2 linked regions of the Lytechinus pictus genome follow. The protein of the gene in region 2 binds, or shares a complex with, the protein of the main gene of each other region. Links are inferred from orthologs where the notes say so. Each region holds a gene or a part of one and is shown on either strand. Other genes may lie near its edges.

Region 1 (10,874 bases), on a different chromosome or scaffold from region 2:
AGGTCGAGATTTTATGTGTCTGTGCAAAAAGAAATGAGCAGAGGTTGAGATGTTGTCTGTTTGGGCAAATGTCTGTCTGTTTGTTGGACTGGCGCCTGTTGCAAAAATTATTAAGCTGATGGAATCAGAAAGTTCCAACTGCTTCATGTCATACCGACAGTGACAGGATTAAGCGGTTGTAGGTATAAATCACGCTCTAAAACTGTGTTCTTTATTAAAAAGTTGTCCTTCATATTCATTTTCGCAAAAGAATATCAAGTTTTCAATTAATTGTCTATAGTTATCCTGTTTATGATAAAAATACTTAGAAATTGGGTTAGGTTAGGGTTATCAAATTATCGGGGCAGAAAATATATTTTTTCAGTTTGCGCGTTGAGCTGGCATTAGTGATCAGTGAGATTATGTTTTTAATGACATTCATTCTATTCACAGCAATATATTATTAAACATAGCCGCATGAATTATAGATAGGTCTATAGTTATCAGGTGAATAATTTACCGCTACACACTGATCATGCGGATACTGTTTTGTAAAGGGGAATTTCACCTTGATAAAAAGATTGTGAAAATATAGGCCAAAGAAAAATAATTTCAAAACATCGGTGAAGGTGTTATTTAAAAACAAGTGGAATGCCTCTGGCCGTCTCACCTGCATCACGCGATTCAATATAGCAGCAGTGCTGATTTTGAAAACTACTATAACTCGCACAAGATGTTCAGTGATACTTGGTTACTCTTATTTCCACGTTTTATGAACTAGACCAATACACTTATAGAGATATGATGGCAATTCAACAAATACCCCCAACGTGGCCAAAGTTCTTTGACCTTACATGACCTTTGACCTTGATCATGTGACCTGAAACTCGCACAGGATGTTCAGTGATACTTGATTACTATTATGTCCAAGTTTTATGAACTAGACCAACACACTTTCAAATTTATGGCTGTAATTCAACAAATACCCCAATTTGGCCAAAGTTCATTGACCCTAAATGACCTTTGACCTTGATCATATGACCTGAAACTTGCACAGGATGTTCAGTAATACTTGATTACTATTATGTCCAAGTTTCATGAATCAGATCCATAAACTTTCAAAGTTATGATGGTAATTCAACAGATACCCCCAATTCGGCCAAAGTTCATTGACCCTAAATGACCTTTGACCTTGGTCATGTGATGTGAAACTCATGCAGGATGTTCAGTGATACTTGATTAACCTTATGTATAAGTTTCATGAACTAGGTCCATATATTTTCTAAGTTATGATGACATTTCAAAAACATAACCTTAGGTTAAGATTTTGATGTTGATTCCCCCAACATGGTCTAAGTTCATTGACCCTAAATGACCTTTGACCTTGGTCATGTGACATGAAACTCAGGCAGGATGTTCAGTAATACTTGATTAACCTTATGGCCAAGTTTCATGAACTAGGTCCATATACATTCTAAGTTATGCTGTCATTTCAAAAACTTAACCTCAGGTTAAGATTTGGTGTTGACGCCGCCGCCGCCGCCGCCGTCGGAAAAGCGGCGCCTATAGTCTCACTCTGCTATGCAGGTGAGACAAAAATGGAGTTAGTAGAATTTCGAATGCTTGATTTGTGACGTCATAAACGAGCAGTTGCTCAATATTCTATGTAATATAAAATGCCAAAATTTCCCATTTTTAATGGTCCGTAATGACCCACTTTTTTCTTTTTGGAGAGAGTATGAAGTTATCTATTGATATACTGAATGTACAATAAAAGTCATTATCACGTATTTCTTGACATTTCATTTACTTTTTACCATAATTATATCCGATATAGATGCTCGCAAAGGCCTACGCCGTCACAAATAATTATTTTTAAAATCTCACCTTTAATTTTTTTTTGGTGGGGGATGGATTTTTCCTGAACGCATACCAATTTTTCAAATTATTTTTTCTGCTATTTTCATAATTAACTTTAAATAAATTCACCTATGCACTACTTAATTTTTTCAAAGACAAAATAACAAAATTACATCTAGTCTTCATCATCACCATCATCACCAACTTCATTCTCATCATCATCACCACTACCACCATCATTATCATCATCATCATCATCATCACCGCCACCATCACCACCACCATCATCATCACCAAGATAATTTTCATCATCATCATCTTTCTTTTTTTTTCTTTTTTTTTCCCCTTCCCTTCTTCTTTTTTTCCTTCCTATTTTCCTCCCTTTTTAGAGGGGCACACCACCAAATAAAAATGTTTGTTGTTGTTGTATATAAGTTGGCGGATGCCTCATGAAATGAAATAAAAGAGAAAATAAGGAAATGGAAAAAGTAAGAAGGATAAGAAGAAAAAAAGAAAGCCAAACAAACAAGACAATATAATATCAAAATTTCGTAATAAAGTCAGTCAGTTTAATAATTATGTTTTCAATGAAATGAGACATAAAAGAATTGAAACAAGTAAAATGGGCTACATCATAGTTAAAAAAAATAGAGGGAAGCTCCGAGACAATAAAAAGTGTTAAAAAAATCAGAAAAGACTTTGAAACACTCTGAACACGAGTATAATATAAAAAAAAATTGGGAATAAGCGAGGACAAGTAGCTGAGGGACCCCCCCCTCTCTCTCTAGTTATTTACTCAAACTCGCATAATATATACAAGAGAAGAAATTCTTACTAATCAAAATATTGCGAGCAAAAAGCATGAGCTGACATTTTTTTAAATATTCAAAACTGATAGAGAGACACATTTTGAACAATTCATGAAACATAATAATCATTCATTATAGCTACCAATCGGATTGCGACAAGATCTGAGAATTAGAAATTCATTAAAAGCATAAAATTGTATAACATTAAAATAAGACGGGCGCAACGCATGAGCTAAAGCTTTATATACCAATTAAAAATTTTGACATTTTTAGCGCTTTCGGTAGTCATGAAAAAGATTCATATTTCATGAAAGCTCAAATCCCGAGGAGGAATATTTTTTATTAATTGACTTAAAAAAGGCTGTTCTAATACAGCCCCATTTAATATTTGATTACAAGTCTCGTTAAACAGTAAAAGAGGAAAATATAAAGCATATTGTGTTCCTCAATTCTCTTTCTCTTTAACCCTATTTTTTTTATTTTTATTTTTATTTTTATTTTTTTTTGGGGGGGAGGTATTTTGGTTAAAAAAAAGAGAAAAAACTATAATTGCTGGCTAGTGGGTGTATAGTGGTAGGGACACCCCGCCCCCACCCCCCCCCCCCCCCCGTAGTTACGCAAACATGGGACCAAATGATCCTACTTGTTCCAAGGCGAAACTTGTGCAATCAATTAAATGTTATTTTTGAGAAAATTAAAGCTTGCGCTGTTTAAATTCAATCTCTTTTACCTAAATTTGCGATAAATGCTAGCATTATGAAATATATAATTATCAACGTCTGGCGAAAAGAATAACCAACCGATCAGCTGACGAGAACGCGTATCACGTGATCTGCATATCAGCTTCGATCGCGAGTCAGAAGTGAAGAGCAACTGGCAATAAAATCTGGAAAAAGTCGTCAAAATGTAAGTTCCCCTTCATTTCTTTCAATTTTTTTTAATTGCTAACAATGCTTTAACTTTCTTAAACAAAAATTTAATGAATAGACAGTACGATAGCTCGTACTTGTGTTATAATACACAAATAATCATCTTCACAAAGATTTCCGACACAAAATACTACAGATGTCGCCTAGTATAAGTATGAGGTCCATACATGTAATGTTTGGACCTCATTGGTACTACTACAGTATACCCAGTTGTTGTGTGTCCGGACAGGTTGTGTGTCCGGACGATCAGTTTTAGAAAGTCATTTGGAAAAATTTACAAGCAAAGTTTCATAAAATGTTTAGTACGAAATGTTAGGTAATATTATAGAGAACAAAACAGAAGATGATTACAACTATTGAATTCGTATTTTTAGTGTAATCCAAAGACAAAAAAGAAGGCTTCAAAAATATTAAGTGTCCGGACACCCCACCCCCCATCCTACTAGGAGTGCTCTCTAGAAGCCTCCTGGCTAGGTAACCCCTAGACCAAAAGCTTCGGTCTCTGTTATGTTGGTTGTTCAGCTGAACTCCGTTGGCTTCACTCACCAAATACAGAGACCGAAGTTCTAGCGCGATCTGTACAGGGGACTCAATGGCCATATGTTTATGTACTTAAGATCGGATAAAACGGGGAAGTGAATTTGTGCGACAGCCGAGGTAAGTCATTGTTTTTTTTCCTTTTAACTTGATTTTTCTCTGTTTTTTTGCAATTAATGCCAAGAGGGAATATTAATTTGCATTTTGGTCGCGTTAATTTTCAAAATTTTTATTCATTAAAGACAAAAATTGAAGAGCCCCGACGGGGGGATTTTGCATTGCAAGTCCCCTAATGGTGGCTGCACGCTAGCGAGCCGTCTGTGTACGAGGAGAAATTAAAAAAAAAAAAAAAAGTTAAAAAACTCCTCGAAACAGACGGCTGCCAGCTGTCTAGGTAACCCCCCCTCATGATGACCCCGCCCCCATCCATAGGCGGCGGAAGCGGGGGGGGGGGGGACAGGTCCCGCCCCCCAAATTTTTAGTTGATGACCTTTTTTTTTTTTTTTTTTGCTTGTCAAAATTTTTATTTGTCACTGTTTGTGTACATTACTAAATTTCAGGTGGACCCCCCCCTAAATTTTTTGGCTTCCGCCGCCAATGCCCCCATCCCTTCTGGGTTCCAATAATTTTAATGCTTTAGTATTAATATTAGCATCCTACCACGTCATGTTACTTGTTACGTTAGTGTTATTGACTTACGTCCACAACTGTGCCAGATGTGCGGTCTTTCCAGCAAAAGTGCATGAGCGTATCGTCGGGCTGGTGAAGGAAGACAAGACCCTTTCTCTTGTCGGGAGTCACAGTCGTTCCTTTCAATTCCATTTTACCAGCTCGAAATTCCACCAGATTTTTACTGGATGGACGACCTCCGGTAGCGGAACTTCCAAATAATGCTCCAGACATGATTGACTTGGTTACAACAAGGCAAATATATTCACGTAAACTGTAAAAATTACGGCAGATCTCACTGATGATGAGAATTTGTAAGTGACAATGCGAAATTTCGATAAATGTGGTGTTTTTGATGGGCCAATGAAAAAGGAAAACACGGAGTTCTCGTGTTAACCCATCTCGTCGTTATCTTGAATTACATTTCTTATGTTTGAACCCTTTTCAAATTCCATCCATGTAAGAACAGAATCGTCGAAATAATGAATATCAAAAAGTAATATGTACCTTACACTTACAGGCCTTGTCATATTTCATCTGTAAAGAGAGGGAGAGAGAGAGAGAGAGAGAGCGGAGAGCCCGGGGGGGCCACTTACATTGGCGAGTGGATACCATGCGCGACCAAAAAAACACGTAAAAAGGATGTCTTTTTCAAGATAGGGCACGTTACGTACGTAACGTAATAAGGGTGTCAAAAACACTAAAATAATGAAAAAACGGTATCTATTTTTGCTAGGAAAGCTTCGTGTTTAGGGTCAAATTTGCGAGGGTGTAAAAAAATTAAGACTAAAATGTTTTATAAAGGATGTACTTTTTGCCCCAAGAGTCAACACTGTTTAGAGTATGATTTTGCGCGAGATGTGCAGGGGCTGTACTAAACCCAATCAGGTAAAACCGACGACAGTGCACATAACAATAAAAGTATCGTTGTACTTGTTTAGGGGGTCAATTCAGGGAATACTTGCCAAGAGTATTGTTTTGTTTCCAATACTTGTTAAGAGTAGGGTTTCACACACCAATACTTGTTAAGGGGTGCATTTTCAGAATATGGAAAATACGTGTTTAGGGTGCTTTTCGAGACCCCATGGTCGCGCATGGTATCCACTCGTCAATGGAAGTGGCCCCCCCCCCCCCGAGGGCGGAGAGTAACAAGTGGAACACCTCTGGCAGTCTCGACTGCATTACGCGATTCGAAGCAGTGCTGACTTTGAAAACAGCTATTGAATAATTATTCACAAAAGAAACATTCATATGATAATAAAATATATAGGTCCTTTGACCATGATGATGTGACCTATGACGTGTGAAAAACAATCATTCATATTTGATTACCCCTACGTCTATGTTTCATGAAGTAGATCCATAAAATTTCAACAAAATACAGATAAGGTGAAGAACTGACTTGGGTCCAGTCTCACCATTCCCTTGAGAATTTTGAACACTGTTATGGCATCACCTCTCCTTCTCCAATAGTGTAGGGATACATGGTTGCTCTTATGTTTAAGATTCATGAACTAGATCCATAAACTTCTAAAGTTATGATGAAAATTACACAAATAGGTCCTACCCCAACATTACCAAAGTTCGTCAACCTATAACCTTGGTCTTGTGACCTGAAACTCGTACAGGATATTTAGAGATACTTGATTGCTTTTATTTCCAAGTTTCATGAACTAGCACTGGCGTAAATCCTTGCGTCACACCTGTTGTTCAGGGGGGATGATCTATTGTTCCGTCCCCCCTGAACAATAGGTGTGACGCAATGATTTACGCCAGTGTGAACTAGATCTATAAAATTTCAAAGTTATGATGACAATTTCCACAAATGGCATAGCAAAAGTTCTTTGACCATATTGACCTTTGTCATGTGACCCGAAATTCAGTTAGGATCTTTAGAGATACCACTGGCGTAAATCCGTGTTGATGGGTGGGGGATGACTGAAATATTTTGGGTTTTTTTTTGCAATCATGTTTTTAGATATGCAAGGAATTGTCATTGATATGTCCACAGTGGCGTACCGTGGGTCACGGCATTGGGGAGGGGGGCACCAGCAAAATGTTTGAATCACTGAATGAGCGCGCTCAGTTGCCAGTTATACTGACCTAATAGATACATTTTCTGGACAATATCATTAAACGGATATGCATCTCACTGATCAAATAATGCGAGCGCGAAGCGCGAGCTGAATTTTTTAAAATTCACACCTAAAAAGAGACATTATAATCAAATTTGTGTAATCATGATAGGTACCTGTCTCGCTAAACAATACGAGTGCGAAGCGCGAGCTGAAGTTTTCGTATATTTTGACCCCAAACAGCGAGATTTTGAGGAATATATTTTAGGAATCCATTAAGAGTATGCACATCTCACCATCATGACCATATTCATCTAATGCGAGTGCCAAGCGCTTGCTGGTTTATAAGAATTACATCTGAACACATGAAACACTTTTTGTAGTCATTGCAATCATGATCATCATACGCATCTCACTAATCAAATATTGCGAGCGCGAAGCGCGAGCTGAAAATTCAGATAATTCAGACCTGAAGTGGGGCATTCTAAGGTTTCTTTGTAGGAATTAACCAGGACCATACGTATTTCAATATCCAAATGATGTGAGCGCGAAGCGCGAGCTGAAAATTTTTGATATTTAGATCAGAAGAAGGGACATTTTAAGGACTGATTTTAGGAATTCATGAAGAGCAGACATATCTCACCAATCCACTAATGCGAACGTAATCACGGACAGGAAATGTTTCATATATACGAAGACCTTAACATGGGGTAATCACTTTTTGAGTCATGAAAAAGAAGCATATGTCACTACATAAAACAATGATAACTCAAGTGCTAGGAAATATATTTGGTTTATATTGACTTGAAAACGGGATGTTTCAGTACAACATGATTATATATCTCGTTAACAGACAATGCAAGCACCAGGAACAATGAAGACGTAGGCCCTGGGCAAATTTTGTTTCATGAAGTTATGATAAAAAAGTTTCTTATGTAATGTAACATAACATAATTATAATATAACATTATAATGAATAATATTTTCTTCTTTCCCACTATACGCTTCTCTTCCTTTCTCCCTCTTTTCTCCTTTTCCCCTTTTCCCCGTTTTTTATTGTCAGCCGATGGGGGGGCATGTGCCCCCATGCCCCCCCCCGTAGTTACGCCACTGTATGTCCATATGGCAAATACCCCTCCAATATTATTATCTTTTTTACCCCATGATGGTTTAATGGTTTTATTAGAGATTACATTAAAAAAGAATTGACATTCCATCTTAATCCCTTCCCAAAGACCCCAACATTGATGAATTGGAAGAAACGGGAGTTTCTCTTCAATGTTATAATAAGGACATAAGTATTTCGTTTGGAAATTGTGAACTGGCTCTTTATTTGCATTTTATGATTCAATAATATTGTTTTATTTGTTAAGCGGTATTTCAGGAAGAATTTTCACCAATAAAACAATTATCTCTTGTGATTTTTTTTTCATTTCTTTCGTAAAAAGTGGGGGGATGTTTGTACAGGCCACCCCCCCTCCTCGAAAAGTGGGGGGATATATCCCCCCACCCCCCCGGGATTTACGCCAGTGAGAGATACACCCTTATCCTTATGTCTAAGTTTCATGAACTAGGTCCATATACTTTCTGAGTTATGACGATATTTCAAAAACTTAACTTTATTGGTAAAGATTTCGATGTTGATTCCCCCAACATGATCTTGACCCTAACAGGTAGGCCTTCTTTACAAAAAATGACCTTTGACCTTGGTCATGTGACCTATGTGACCTGAAACTCTAGCAGGATGTTCAATGATACTTGATTACCCTTATTTCCAAGTTTCATGAAATAGGTTCATACACTTTCTAAGTTATGATGACATGTCATTATCTTAATCTTATACATGTATAGTTGGTTAAGATTTCAATGTTGACGACACCCCCGCCGTCGGAAAAGCGGCGCCTATAGTCTCGAATGAAATGCCAGAACATGCATCGAGTAGACAGTAAAGGCTATCACGGTGCAGTATTGAGCCTATTACTTATTGATCACATTAAAAAAAGGGACATATCAAGAAAAGGCAAAGTACATTATGTTATATGAAGGAAAATAATTCGATATCATATAAGCTTGATCTCATGCATGGTTACATCGTATTGAAAGTTATTATTATTATTGCCTATACAGTGCGTATCAAAAAAAAATTTACACTTTGAAAAAGCCCTGGGAATTAAAAAAAAAAATACAACATGTGGGTAATTTCTTCACATATAATCTTGGGTTTGGGTCTCATCTATCCAATGAAAGTAAAAGTTTTGGCAGAATGTTACACTTGAGTGAGCACTGTCCATTTTTGTAAAGCTCGCAGAAATCTGTTTGCGCAGAAATGCTCGTTTTCACGCTGTGTCAAGGGGAAAGGGCGACATCAAACTTACCCTGCGAAACATTTCTCTTACATTTCCCTTGCACTCTAAGTCAATTGAATTAAAATGGATACATTCAAGCATTTTGTAACAACTTTGCCACCCAAATTGAAATTTCAACACTTAGTAAACACAACATTTACCCTTTTTGTGCCAGCTGGATCTGAGGACATAACTGAATCTGAACAAAAGTTTATATCAGACATCTCCAGCATTTTTCACTAAGTTTGTGTCATTTAAAGTGGGTTTACATTTCATTTTTCATTTAATACTTGTTTCTTCACACTTTGTGTAAACTTTATTTTGATACGCACTGTATAGAAACGTCCTCTCTTCGTCCCCTCGTTCACCCAGCCACTCTCTCTCTCTCTCTTGCTCCATTTTGCTATTTTAAAATGTTTTCTCCACTTGGGAACCCCTTTTCGACTCAATAATTCAATAGTTGAATAATTGAATATGTTATCTATTATTCTCAACTATATTCCAATTTCCAATACCCTTCTTCCCCCCTCTCTCACCCTCCTCTCCCTCTCATGATCTCTCCCTACCCCCTCCCCCCTCCAGCCTCTGATCTCTCTCAGTCTTTTCCTATCGTCTTCCCTTTATATATATTTTTTTTCTTAAAAGTAATTTTTTCCGGGGGGGGGGGTGACAAGACGCATCTAAACAAAAATCGAAGATGGAGATGCTTATGTATTTCTCAAATGAAACTACATTTCGTGCACACTTTTGGTGAATTTTGTGAAAATGAAATTTGCAAGTTTTCAGGGAGAGGGGTGGGAGTGAGAAAACTGCCCCCCCCCCCCCCCGCTGTGTAAGGCGCCATGTACTATTGATAATAACACACCTGACTCGAAACATGCCTTGGTTATATAATGATTTATTCTTTCATTAACATCACAATTACAAAATGCGATCCTATTACTTTGTACACATTATGGAGGGGGGGGGGGGGCTTGGGGGTACTGGACACAAAATGATTCACACAAAAAATAAAGAAAGAAAATGACAGAAAACTTTAATAAAATTTGTTTCATTTTTCGGGATATTATGTTCAAATCTAATACAAAGTAACATCTGCATTTTGAACAGGTATTTTTTTTCTCTCGCTCGTTTTTAGAAAACTTTGCACCATCTGCCATTTTGTGCCCCTCATTTTTTGTTTGTTGATTACGCTTCTGTCTATTTGAAACGAACGGTTCCGGAAAGGACAGTCCCTCGAACACTATATCCTCCTGACAACCCATCATGAAACGTCCCCCGGGGACATCTGTCCATTACATCACGACTGATAATTATTGTATATGAAAAGGAAAGTATATCCTTGTTACAGAAGACCATGCATGTATGATTGGAAAAAAAAATGGTCCTTACGTTCGCATTACATAATTAAGCAAATGGCGGCAATTTCTTTTCAAAGGGGTGAAGTGCATTAGCATGGGAGGGAGCTGATTGTCAGAGCGATATTTTTCAAGAGCAAAAAGGATGACATCTTCCACTCCCTAAATATTAATTCCATTTACTTAAAAGATCAAGAGTGTTTTTTTAATGCGTGATACAGAAAAATATTTTCACAGAAGGAAACTCAGATATTTCAAATCATTATATAATGGTATACAACAGGGTCATGAGATATTTGTTTAGATCGTACGA
Region 2 (10,762 bases):
TCATTTGGATTTGATATATAAGAAACATACAGATTATTTTTCCGATTTATAGACCTTAATATCAATTTTGAAACCCATGGGAGCTTTGGAACACGTTTATAATCGTAATTTCGACATTTCTTTAAAGGAACACAAGAATCTAAGCAGTCATTGAAAGATTTCAAAAATATGTCAAATGAGTCATCGACATTCACATTCGAGTTATAAACGTCAGACCAATCAACAGAGCTTAAATCTTCTTGAAGGCGTTCAATATTTTTATCACTAAAGTTGCGACAGATCCTATATTTCTTTTCCATTTTTGCGAGTGATTGCATTGTTTGGATATGGGTAAAAATAAGAAAATGATCGGATATGTCTGTCGTTACAATGCCAGCTTTCGGAAGAGGATGAGAGTTACAGAATATATTATCTATAAGCGTAGCAGAATGATCAGTAATACGGGTTGGTCTAGAAATAATAGGCAAAAAAGTAGAAGATAACATTAATTCAAGGAAATCATTTGTTAAAGAGTGATTACTGGTCAAGAGATTAATATTGAAATCACCAGTGATGATACAATTGTTATTTATCAATTCTCCGTTTTGCAAAAGTTCATTAGTAGCAAGTAAAAAATCTTCTATACAAGAAGTTTGAGGAGGTCTGTAGATGACACCTATTAGAGTTTTCTTATCTTTTTGAATTTTTACTTCTACAAATAAGGATTCGATGATTTCATTCATATATTCAAATTCATGTCTAATTGCATAATCAAATGAAGACGGAATATATAATGCTAGTCCACCTCCAATTTTATTTTTCCTATTGTTTATAACAATATCATAATTCGGGAGGGTGCATAAGGAATTTGGGGTTTCCGTGAACCAAGTTTCAGTAAGAGCAATAATTGGGGGATTGGCAAACTGTGTATTTTCTAATAATAATCGTCATTTCTCGAAGTTTTGGTTAGCGCTTCTTATATTCAAATGCAAAATAAAAACATCATCTTCTCCAATCAATTTAGCATAGTCTTTGAATGAATTTTCTGTATAATATGGAGAAGAGGAAAGATTGTATGCTTTATCATGAATATCGAATTCAACTTGAAGTTCATCAAAATTATTTGTAAGAATATCAGTAGAAAATCTATCAAATGCTGAAATGGAGTATAATGATTTGAGATAACATTGCTTTTATCTTGATGATTTAGTAATAAGAAATCATCATTATTCAGATGATAAAAGGGGAAATCACGCATATTATCCACCATTATGAAATATAATATATTGCCATTTTAAAACAAAATCTTTGTAAGCTAAGCATATAAAGCATTTTTTAGATTTGATACCATCATGACCCAAAATTCGAGTTCGGAAAATACTACAGTTGTAATAGTTAACAAAATAAAGATTATCTAATACAATTATTAACGGGCGATGAAGAATATTTGCACACAAAAATAAGTAAAATGACCTCCATAAAATGTCTGGTATTGAAACATTATTGAAAGGGCAGTGAAGGAATGCAAAATACACCACGGAAAATAACACAGATATTGAACAATGCGAAAAATTTTGGGACGAGAATTTCATAATAAATGAAAAGAATACTGGAAAATCGAATAACATGGAATGGATAAAGGATAGTCCTACTACAGTTTGGAAAAGTCCTCTCTGGAATGAATGATGATGGGTTGACACTTCTCATCCTTCCTTACATAGATTCGGCCATTCTGGGTCCACAAGAACTTGTATCCGGCATCTCGGCGGGCCTTGTTGAGATCTTTCATTAGCTCCTTAGTGGAAGCGATCAAGTTTTCATTGAGGTAGATTTTGCCATCGCTGTTGTATCCAAGATCTTTTGTGCTGAGGGTCTTCAGCTTTCTTCTTCCATCATACATGATGTTCCGAGCACGTCTTGTGGTGAATCGCACGATGATTGGACGGGCTCTGTTATCAGCTTGGCGCTTGGAACCCAGCCGATGAACCACATCGAAGTCGGATGCTGCAAGCTCTGGGCTGATGTGTTTTGCAATATTGAGTATGATCCTTTCAGGAACCTCTCCCGGTCGTTCTGGTACACCTGCCACCTCCAAGTTGACTCTCCTGTGGTACTGGTCAAGATCGTTAAGCTGGAAGGTCAACTCACTGAACCTCTTCTGAAGACAGATGTTCTGCTCCCTCAGTTCTCTGTTCTCCTTTTCAATCTTCTCGGCCTTCAACTTCATTTCCTCAAATTTCTCGTTGAGTCCAGGGTCAAGTTACACAAGGGAGTTGGCGATTAATTGCTAAATGGAATGGCCAATCCAGATCATCGTTGCATGCACATTTGCTCAGTGCACTGACTAGGAACCAATCAGAATTGTTCTTTCAAATGAGCGATTGATCGCTAACGTTTGTGTTATGGGGCCGAGATCAACATTCACTCTGTCACCAATCATCTTTCTCCCCTTCCCTCTCTACTCCCCACCTCCATCTTCCCCTTACCCTGTTCACTCTTTCCCCTCTTTTAACCCCCCCCCCCCCAATCCTCCACCCATTCACTCGCCATATTCTTAATTGTCTTGTTGACCTCGTGATCACAGCACCTCGTGATCACAGCACATTTTCCTCTCCTCTGTGAATCTACTTCAGCATTTTTTCTGTCAATCCCATAATTTTCCTCTTTCTTTATCTCCCCCTTCACTCCCCACCCTTCCCTTCCCATCCCTTCACCCCCATGATATTAGACACTGTTCTCATTACGCTTTCTAAAACTAGTTTACTGGAAACTGGTTCAGGAAACCAGTTTGGAAGACCCCTTTGCTAGCGTTCCCATTTGATCACACGAAAGTGGTTTACAAAATCACTTCACGTAAAGCGATATTGTTGCTATGGAAACGCTCTCAGTGGGGTGACACGTTTCGCGCGAAATACGAAACCGCAGCGTAGGCATTCTACACCTGTCGAGTGTCGTGTGGAGTAGCACGCTCAAAATGTGCGAATATCGCTTCCCGAAGAACGGTTGTGTCCTCACTTACACCAAAACCAGTTGAACAAGGCAAAGCGATCTTGAAAACTACACCGTGAGGTGGTTTTATGAACCGGTTTGGAAGATAGCTTCGACCGTTCTCATTACACGTTGAACTAGTTTCCACTAAACTAGTTTCCAGTAAACTAATTTTAGGAAGGTAGTGAGAATGGTGTCCTACTTGTCTTGTTGATGTCTTGATCACATTTTCCTTTCCGTTGTGAGTCCAGATCAACATTTGTTCTGTCAATCCCATAAGTTTCCTCTTTCTCTATCTCCTCCCTCACCCCACCCCCTTCCCACCCCTTCACTCTCCCATAATCTTACTTGTCTTGTTGACGTCTTGATTACAGCACATTTTCCTTTCCGTTGTGAGTCCAGATCAACATTCGCTCCCTCCGTCTCTTCATCCTCGTCTGGTTGGACATCAAGGAGCTGATTAAAAGTCATCGACAAGACAGGGTCATGTTAAAACTATTCATAATGTTATAATTAATTTATGCCAAGTGATAATTCTCATCTCACATGTGAGTGATTATCGGTAGGCCTGGGAGTAAAACTCGAACAATCGTTACATTTGACAAGTTTACCAACAAGCAGCAAGCGAATACTACTTTTCTTTCTTTGTCAAATTTTTCGGAAGACAGAATTTTTCTTGCTTAAAAAAGTTTTCGGACAAATTTTGCACAAAAAAAGTCTCACTCTGGAACCACGCCTGATTTTTGCAAATTTTACTGTATTAATTTCAAAACAAGGTCAATCAACTTTATCATAAACAAGAAAGGTGGGTCGTCCACAACTTATCTCTACAACATTGGAAAATAAATATGGCTAAGTCTTGTTGTTCACCTGCATATATGCAGACTTTCAAGTATTAATTTCAATATGAAGTTGATCAACTTTAAATACAAAAGATGTCATGATTAAACAACACAAAAAAAAATGGCCAGAGTAATCCTGAAAGACAATCTAAGAACTCCTACCCGAATTAATTTAAGCACACTAAAATGGATTCCCATCGAAGATCGATGGAATTATTTTAAATGTAAAATGATATTTTCTGTTTTCCTTAGTCAAAATTCAGACTATTTGTTAAATATCTTTTGAAAACTCTGAAACTGTACATAGTATTCGTACTCGTAGTGCACAAAGCACAGGTTTGATTTTGCCCAAAGTTCGAACGGAAATGAAGACAAGTTTTTCTATTGCTGGTGCACTCATTTGGAATAATTCACCTACATGTAATGTTTTAAGAACTGCCTGATCAGAATCCCCATTTAGTCTTTTATTTTGGCATTATAATAGCCTTAATTTATAAACCGGCCCTTTGTGTTGTTCTCTTCCTTACAGTTTGTTCGTCATAATTTCACATTGTACACTTTTCATAATTATGTCTGTTATGTTTGTATTTTTGTTGTAGGGCCTCCCAGGAAAAAAGTATGCCAATTACTGATGGAGCCACCCTACTAAAAAAAAAAACTTACAAATCAATAAACTTCATCACAAACAAGAAAAGGAAGGCTAATATGGAGTCCTATCAGACTTACCTCAATAACATTGGAAACTAAATATGGCAGGGTCTTGTTGACTTTAATCTTCTCTTCATTTTCTTTGATCTTGTCTTTTTGTGCTTGATGTTCATGCTGTATCCTCATGATTTCACTCTTCATTATCTGCATGGATGGAAATGACAAATTGAATATGAAAAGAACAAAATGTCAAGAATGTTTGTCTTTATCACATGATAATTATACTCCTTTTTATATTTGTATGTTTTATTAAATCAAAAATCATAATCAAGGTAAAATTACAATATTTACAACTTATTAAAAACAGATCAGATTTATTGTAATAAAAGGCAATATTAACAAAAATAAAGCTTAACAAACAAAACAATAAAATAATACAAGGCAAACACACTATACAAAGTTAATTATACTCTTTCTCTGCATCATCCTTTTCTCTCTTAATCCTACTCATCATTTTCTTCTTCTTCCTCCTCCTCCCTTTTTTGTCTACTCCTCCTCCATTTTCTTCTTCTTCTTCCCCTTCTCCTTCTTCTCCTCCACCTTCTTCTGATGCTTCTTCTTCTTCCCTTTCTCCTTCATCTTTTTCTCCTTCTTCTTCTTCCCCTTCTCCTCCTCCTTCTTCTTCTTCCCTTTCTCCTTCTCCTTCTCCATCTCCTTCGTCTCTTTCTCCTTCTTCTCCTTCTCCCACTCCTCTCCTCCCACTTCCTTTTCTTTTCTTTCTTTTTCTACTTCTTCCCATCTTCCTTTTCTCCTTCTCCCTATCCTGCTCCTTCTTGTTCTTCTCCTCTCCTCCCCTTCTGCTTCATATAATGTATTTTCCATAGAAGAGTAAATTTCTTTCAAACAACCTCCATCACTCACCTTGACTTCATTGTCTAACAGTCTTGTCCTTCCTATGATTTCATCTGTTGACATTCGTAACACCTCCTCACCCACGGAGTCCTAGGGGAAAGAAATTACTCAATTTTACCACTTGCATTTTTAAGGGACACAGAAAACACATTAGCATATTAATGAGAAATGTTCTAACTCTTAAAAGTTACTACTGACGTACATGTATGCAAGTTTAAAGGAAAATGAAACCCTTGAAACCAGCTGAATCCATATCAAAGAGAAAAATCAAAGAAACATATTGTTGAAAGTTTGAGGAAGATTGAATGAATAATAAGAAAGTTATGAGCATTTGAAAATTGAGATCACTAATGCCATGTAGATCCTCCCATTGGCAATGCAACCAAGATCTGTGATGTCACACACGTACAACTCCCTCATTACTTTAGTACTTATTTCACTTATATTCTCACTTTTATAGAGTCTATCACAAGGTGAGGTGTTCTCTTTATGAGAGGACAAGTACAGAGGTTTCGCAACATTATATCAATGATGAATCGTTTGTCATATGATTAGAATGAGCAAAAAGAGATGTTTTGGGGTACATTTTCAGTGTCCAAAAGGGGAGAGTTGTCCAGTTTTGGACACTGAAAATATACCCCAAAACATCTCTTTTTGCTCATTCTAATCATATGACAAACGATTCATCAATGATATAATGTTGTGAAACCTCTGTACTTGTCCTCTCATAAAGAGAACACCTCACCTTGTGATAGACTCTATAAAAGTGAGAATATAAGTGAAATAAGTACTAAAGTAATGAGGGAGTTGTACGTGTGTGACATCACAGATCTTGGTCGCATTGCCAATGGGAGGATCTACATGGCATTAGTGATCTCAATATTCAAATGCTCATAACTTTCTTATTATTCATTCAATCTTCCTCAAACTTTCAACAATATGTTTCTTTGATTTTTCTCTTTTATATGGATTCAGATGGTTTCAAGGGTTTCATTCTCCTTTAATGTACTGAAGTGTCCAGTCTTATCTCTGTAGTGTCTGTACTCATGTGAGCCAAAATTAAAGAAAACTACACACAAATATTAATAATGATATGCAACATTTATTCAATACAATGTTTCAAACCACTGCATACTAATACCCCGGCTTTACCACTGCAACCCTGCTTGGGTGCTTAAGCATTCAAGGAATTCCTTCCTACATGTACCTGGTACCCATTTACCACACCTGGGTGAAGAGTGGCAAATGTAGATAAACACCTTGCCAAAGGATGCAAGCTTGATTTTGACGAGTGATTGTACATTGTAGTCAATGCAATCAATTGTAAAAGAAATGTTAGATATGGTCAATTCCAGCATAACGGACATGACGTTCAGACAAATTTTTGTAATTCAAAGCTTTATACAGTAGAATTAGCAGTCTTTTGATAATTGTTACTGAGCAGATCAGACACATTTAAGTATCAGTTACATACACATGAAATTTCAAATCGTTTCGTTGAACAGTTGTGGAGAAATCGCACTCTTTGTGAGCGTAACGGACATGACACGAAATGGACGAAGCATTTTTACCTCCTATGGCTCATCGATATTCCTGTGAATTCTTAGAACGTATGCACCTGATGTTGGTGTTAATTTAACCTTAAGATCATGCTCTGTTCATAAAATGGTGTTTAACAACAGTTTTGCAGTGCATTCTGTATTCATAGCTCAAAATGTAGCGTAACGGACATGACACATGAAGCGTAACGGACATGACAGTTTCGTCCACTTTTTGTAAGCGGATATAATTATGTTATTACAAGATATGGTACAAGTCTTATTGTTTACATGTTAAGGCTAGAGGTTAGAGACACACATCATAACTGGTAATCTGTAATATCTCCTATTATTTTGCAATTTGAGTGAGGGGCTTTTCGTACAATATTTATAAAACCAAAAAATTTTTAGAAAAATGTCTTTAACACCAGTTAACAACAGTTAATGAGTATTTTCCAGTTACTACCATCAGCCACACCTAATTAAAAGAGAAAAAGTTGATAGTAAAGATTATTTTTTATTCATGGCTTACTCTTTGACAATATACACTAGCGTAACGGACATGACACCCTTACGATGAACTTCATCAGCATTTCTTAATATCAAAATGAAAGAAATATGAATAATGAATGTAATTATGTAACAGCAAAGTACCTTTACTAACATTCTTATGAAAAACATGTAGATATTATTGGCAGGTATTATTAATTTAATAGCTATAGCCTACATGATAATTTTATATAGAATACAATGCTTACATAGTACCACTACGGCACACTGAGAAGACCAAATCTCATTTTTGTGAGAAGAAAACAATATGTACCAGACCTGTATAAATCCAAGATGAACATATATTATGAAATGTATTTTGTGATAAAGAATGTACTAGTATTAATGTCACTTTTAAGATTAAAAAAAATGATATAAAAAAGTATTTTAAAATTTAATAGCAGTACCTGGAAACCAGTCTTTCATTATCGATTATGTATGAGTTGAAAGTAATCGGAATGTTTGTAAATTGCTTCTGAGATATTTTTTCATTCAAAATAAATATCATCCTGAGTATAATCATCCTTTCATCAAATCTTGGATGTTCTAAATCTTACGATCTTGCTTGCTAACAAATGTGGCAACTGGCTGTATCTAATTTTGTTGCATTGTCTGCACTGCTTGTGTACAAATGAAGATACATCATTCAAATCGTGATTATGGTTGACCAAAATACTATGATGACATAATTTATTGATTGCACCACATTCCTTCCACGGCCCCTTTGCTTTGTGATATTGCAAAGAAGTGCCACTGTAGATTCATGGATTCATAGAGCTGCATCATGTAACACAGATATCTGAATACAAACTTGTTTTTAAATGTGAGCCCGTGCCATCACTGAAGAATTTGAGGTTGGTGAAAGTCAGATACTTTGAAGCAATATCATCAATGATCTCATGAATTCACAAGTTGGAATTTTATCATGCTCCAAACTGTCAGCAAACACCTAGTATATGCTTTTCACACTGCATTTCCTTAACCCCAGACTATCCTTAACCCCATACTATCTTTTTTTCGATTCACACTGTCTTTCTTAACCCCGTACTATTGCTTAGCCGGGGTTACGCCTTAACCCCGGGCAATCACACAGCTCATAAATATTGATGATTTTACCATACAGAGCGCGATTAACGTGCAATTTCGACTTCTGTGATTGGCTAATGCTTAGCCCCGCTTTTGCTTAGCCCTGTTTCGTTTCACATTGCATCTCTTAGCACCGCAATTGTGGTGCTAGCACCACAATAAGCCGGCTAACCCTGCTTTTTTGCAGGGCCAGATAGTACCGTACTATTTACCGTGCTAGCCCACTTTGCTAAAACGTAGTGTGAAAACGAAGTGGGCTAAGCTTAACCCCGGGAAATTGGTGGGGCTAAGACCCCCCCCCCCCCCTTAGCCCCAACAATTTAGGACAAAAAGTGCAGTGTGAAAAGCATATTAGATAATCAATTGTATTGTTCAAACACAAATGATGCAGATTGTGATCTGAGTATGTTGCCAGATCTAGCTGCATCTTATCCTAATATTATGTGGCATACCGTTAATTCTCAGAAAAATATACCAGAACAAGAGCTGAACTTTCATCATTTACCAACTACTAAAAATAGCTTGAATGACATGCAGATTCTAGGAGTTATTACATCCAGCTATCCTCAAGCAATTGAGACTGACCTCAGTCTGTGACACTGAGCCTAATATTTTGTTTTTGTGAATGCTGCCTTTTGTCATATATAAGGCGTCATGTCCGTTACGCAACCTGTCATGTCAGTTACGCCATTTTTATGAAAATGAGAAGTGGTAAGGGAAAATGATTGCTACACATGGTAGGGGGTTTAATTCTAACATAGAATCTGAATCTGCAGTACCTTCAGACAAATTTCCTGAAAGCTGTGAAAACTTTAAGTGAAAAACGTAACGGACATGACACTGATAATGATAAAGAAATCACACAAATCTGAAGATCGATTTCTCTAAAATTGATGATTTTCTGTTGATGTAAACATTAATCAACTATTCATAAGTTAAAAGAGACCTCTGTGACCTTATTTGCTTTTAGTAGAGACAGGAAAGATGAATTGTTTAAAAATAGCCACAATTTTTAGATTTTGCAATTTACCATTCTATTTTTTTGATGATGGAAAAAACTACAAAATTTTGTCAATATTGCGATTTTTCTATAGGAAATTGAAACTTTATAGATTACTTTTTAAGAAACTATGACTGCTTAAGTGAGATCTGAAACTTCATTTTATTTCTCTAAAGTGAACATTTTCCATGGAATTGCCCATATGATGATTGCTAGCGTTTGTGTTACAGGACACTGGTATTATTTTCATGAGACAAACCACCTAACATGTTTTTGACTGAGAAGAGATGCCCAACTATATCTGCTGCAAAGTGACAAGGAAGTTCATGATGCATCAAGTTTGGCCAGAATTATTATCTTTGTGTGTAGATTTTAAAAAAAGTGTAAGAAAATGACAACTTTGTCATGAATTTGTTTCCTTTTCTTTTCGATAAGCTTTTCCTTTTCTTTCCAGTTTTTTTTTCACTTTTCTTCTATCTTAGTTCTTTCATGTCTTTCTTCTACTTAGTTCAGGCTCCTCTCTCTCATTCTTTTCTTTTTCTGTTTTTTTTATAATTATATTTCATTTTATTGCAACCTTGGCCTTTCTTTTCCAACCTACAAAAGATGACCTACATCATTGCATCTGTAATATTTTCTTTCTCACTTCTTCCTGTATATTTCTTTTCTTTCTTTTTTTCTATATAGGCCTATGGATGTATAGGTATGTGCGAATACAGGCGCATCGCGAGCGCTGGTTTTGGCTGCACGGTTTTCGCGCGGGTTTTGCTGCAAGTGGCATCACCTCTGTCTGGGCGGCTCATCGAAAATGGGGTTTCATGCGCATGCGCACATAGTTGATGCAATCTCGTGCCTTGATACAGACAGTTGAAAACTTGCTCTTTCTGTACATATAAAGTTTCAATGTGGATACTCGCCTGTGAAGTGGGGATATCGGAGCTTGAAAGTTCATCAAATTTTTGGATGCACAAATGATCGAATTTTTTTTATGGTAAGTAGAACTACGATCCAATTATGTATCCTTATTGTTATAGATATATTCAAATTGAAAAAAAAAGTCAAATAAAAAGATTCTATCGTGGAGCAGTCCAGATATAAGAGACGCGAGCTACCCTTGTCACAGCCGGTCTCTCGGCAGTCGAGCTGCCCGATGCGGTGGGCTCCCGACGGTCTTTCGGCAGTCGAGCTACCGGTAACCGATGCGGAGGGCTTGGTGACAG

Evidence for each region. The genes of interacting proteins can lie anywhere in the genome.
Region 1: 26S proteasome regulatory subunit 6A (region 2) and proteasomal ubiquitin receptor ADRM1-like share a complex: the UniProt entries of both Caenorhabditis elegans proteins name them as parts of the 19S proteasome regulatory particle complex. The link is inferred for Lytechinus pictus from reciprocal best matches to the Caenorhabditis elegans genes rpt-5 and rpn-13.

What each region holds. Positions count from the first base shown.
Region 1 is NC_087245.1:15,500,227-15,511,100, forward strand, and holds the start of proteasomal ubiquitin receptor ADRM1-like, read right to left. Parts: upstream 5,126-10,874; 5' UTR 5,018-5,125; coding exon 4,814-5,017; intron 1-4,813. UniProt on the Caenorhabditis elegans protein: May function as a proteasomal ubiquitin receptor. May promote the deubiquitinating activity associated with the 26S proteasome.
Region 2 is NC_087250.1:14,967,686-14,978,447, reverse strand, and holds the start of 26S proteasome regulatory subunit 6A, read right to left. Parts: upstream 5,466-10,762; 5' UTR 5,433-5,465; coding exon 5,379-5,432; intron 4,662-5,378; coding exon 4,536-4,661; intron 3,424-4,535; coding exon 3,316-3,423; intron 1-3,315. UniProt on the Caenorhabditis elegans protein: Component of the 26S proteasome, a multiprotein complex involved in the ATP-dependent degradation of ubiquitinated proteins.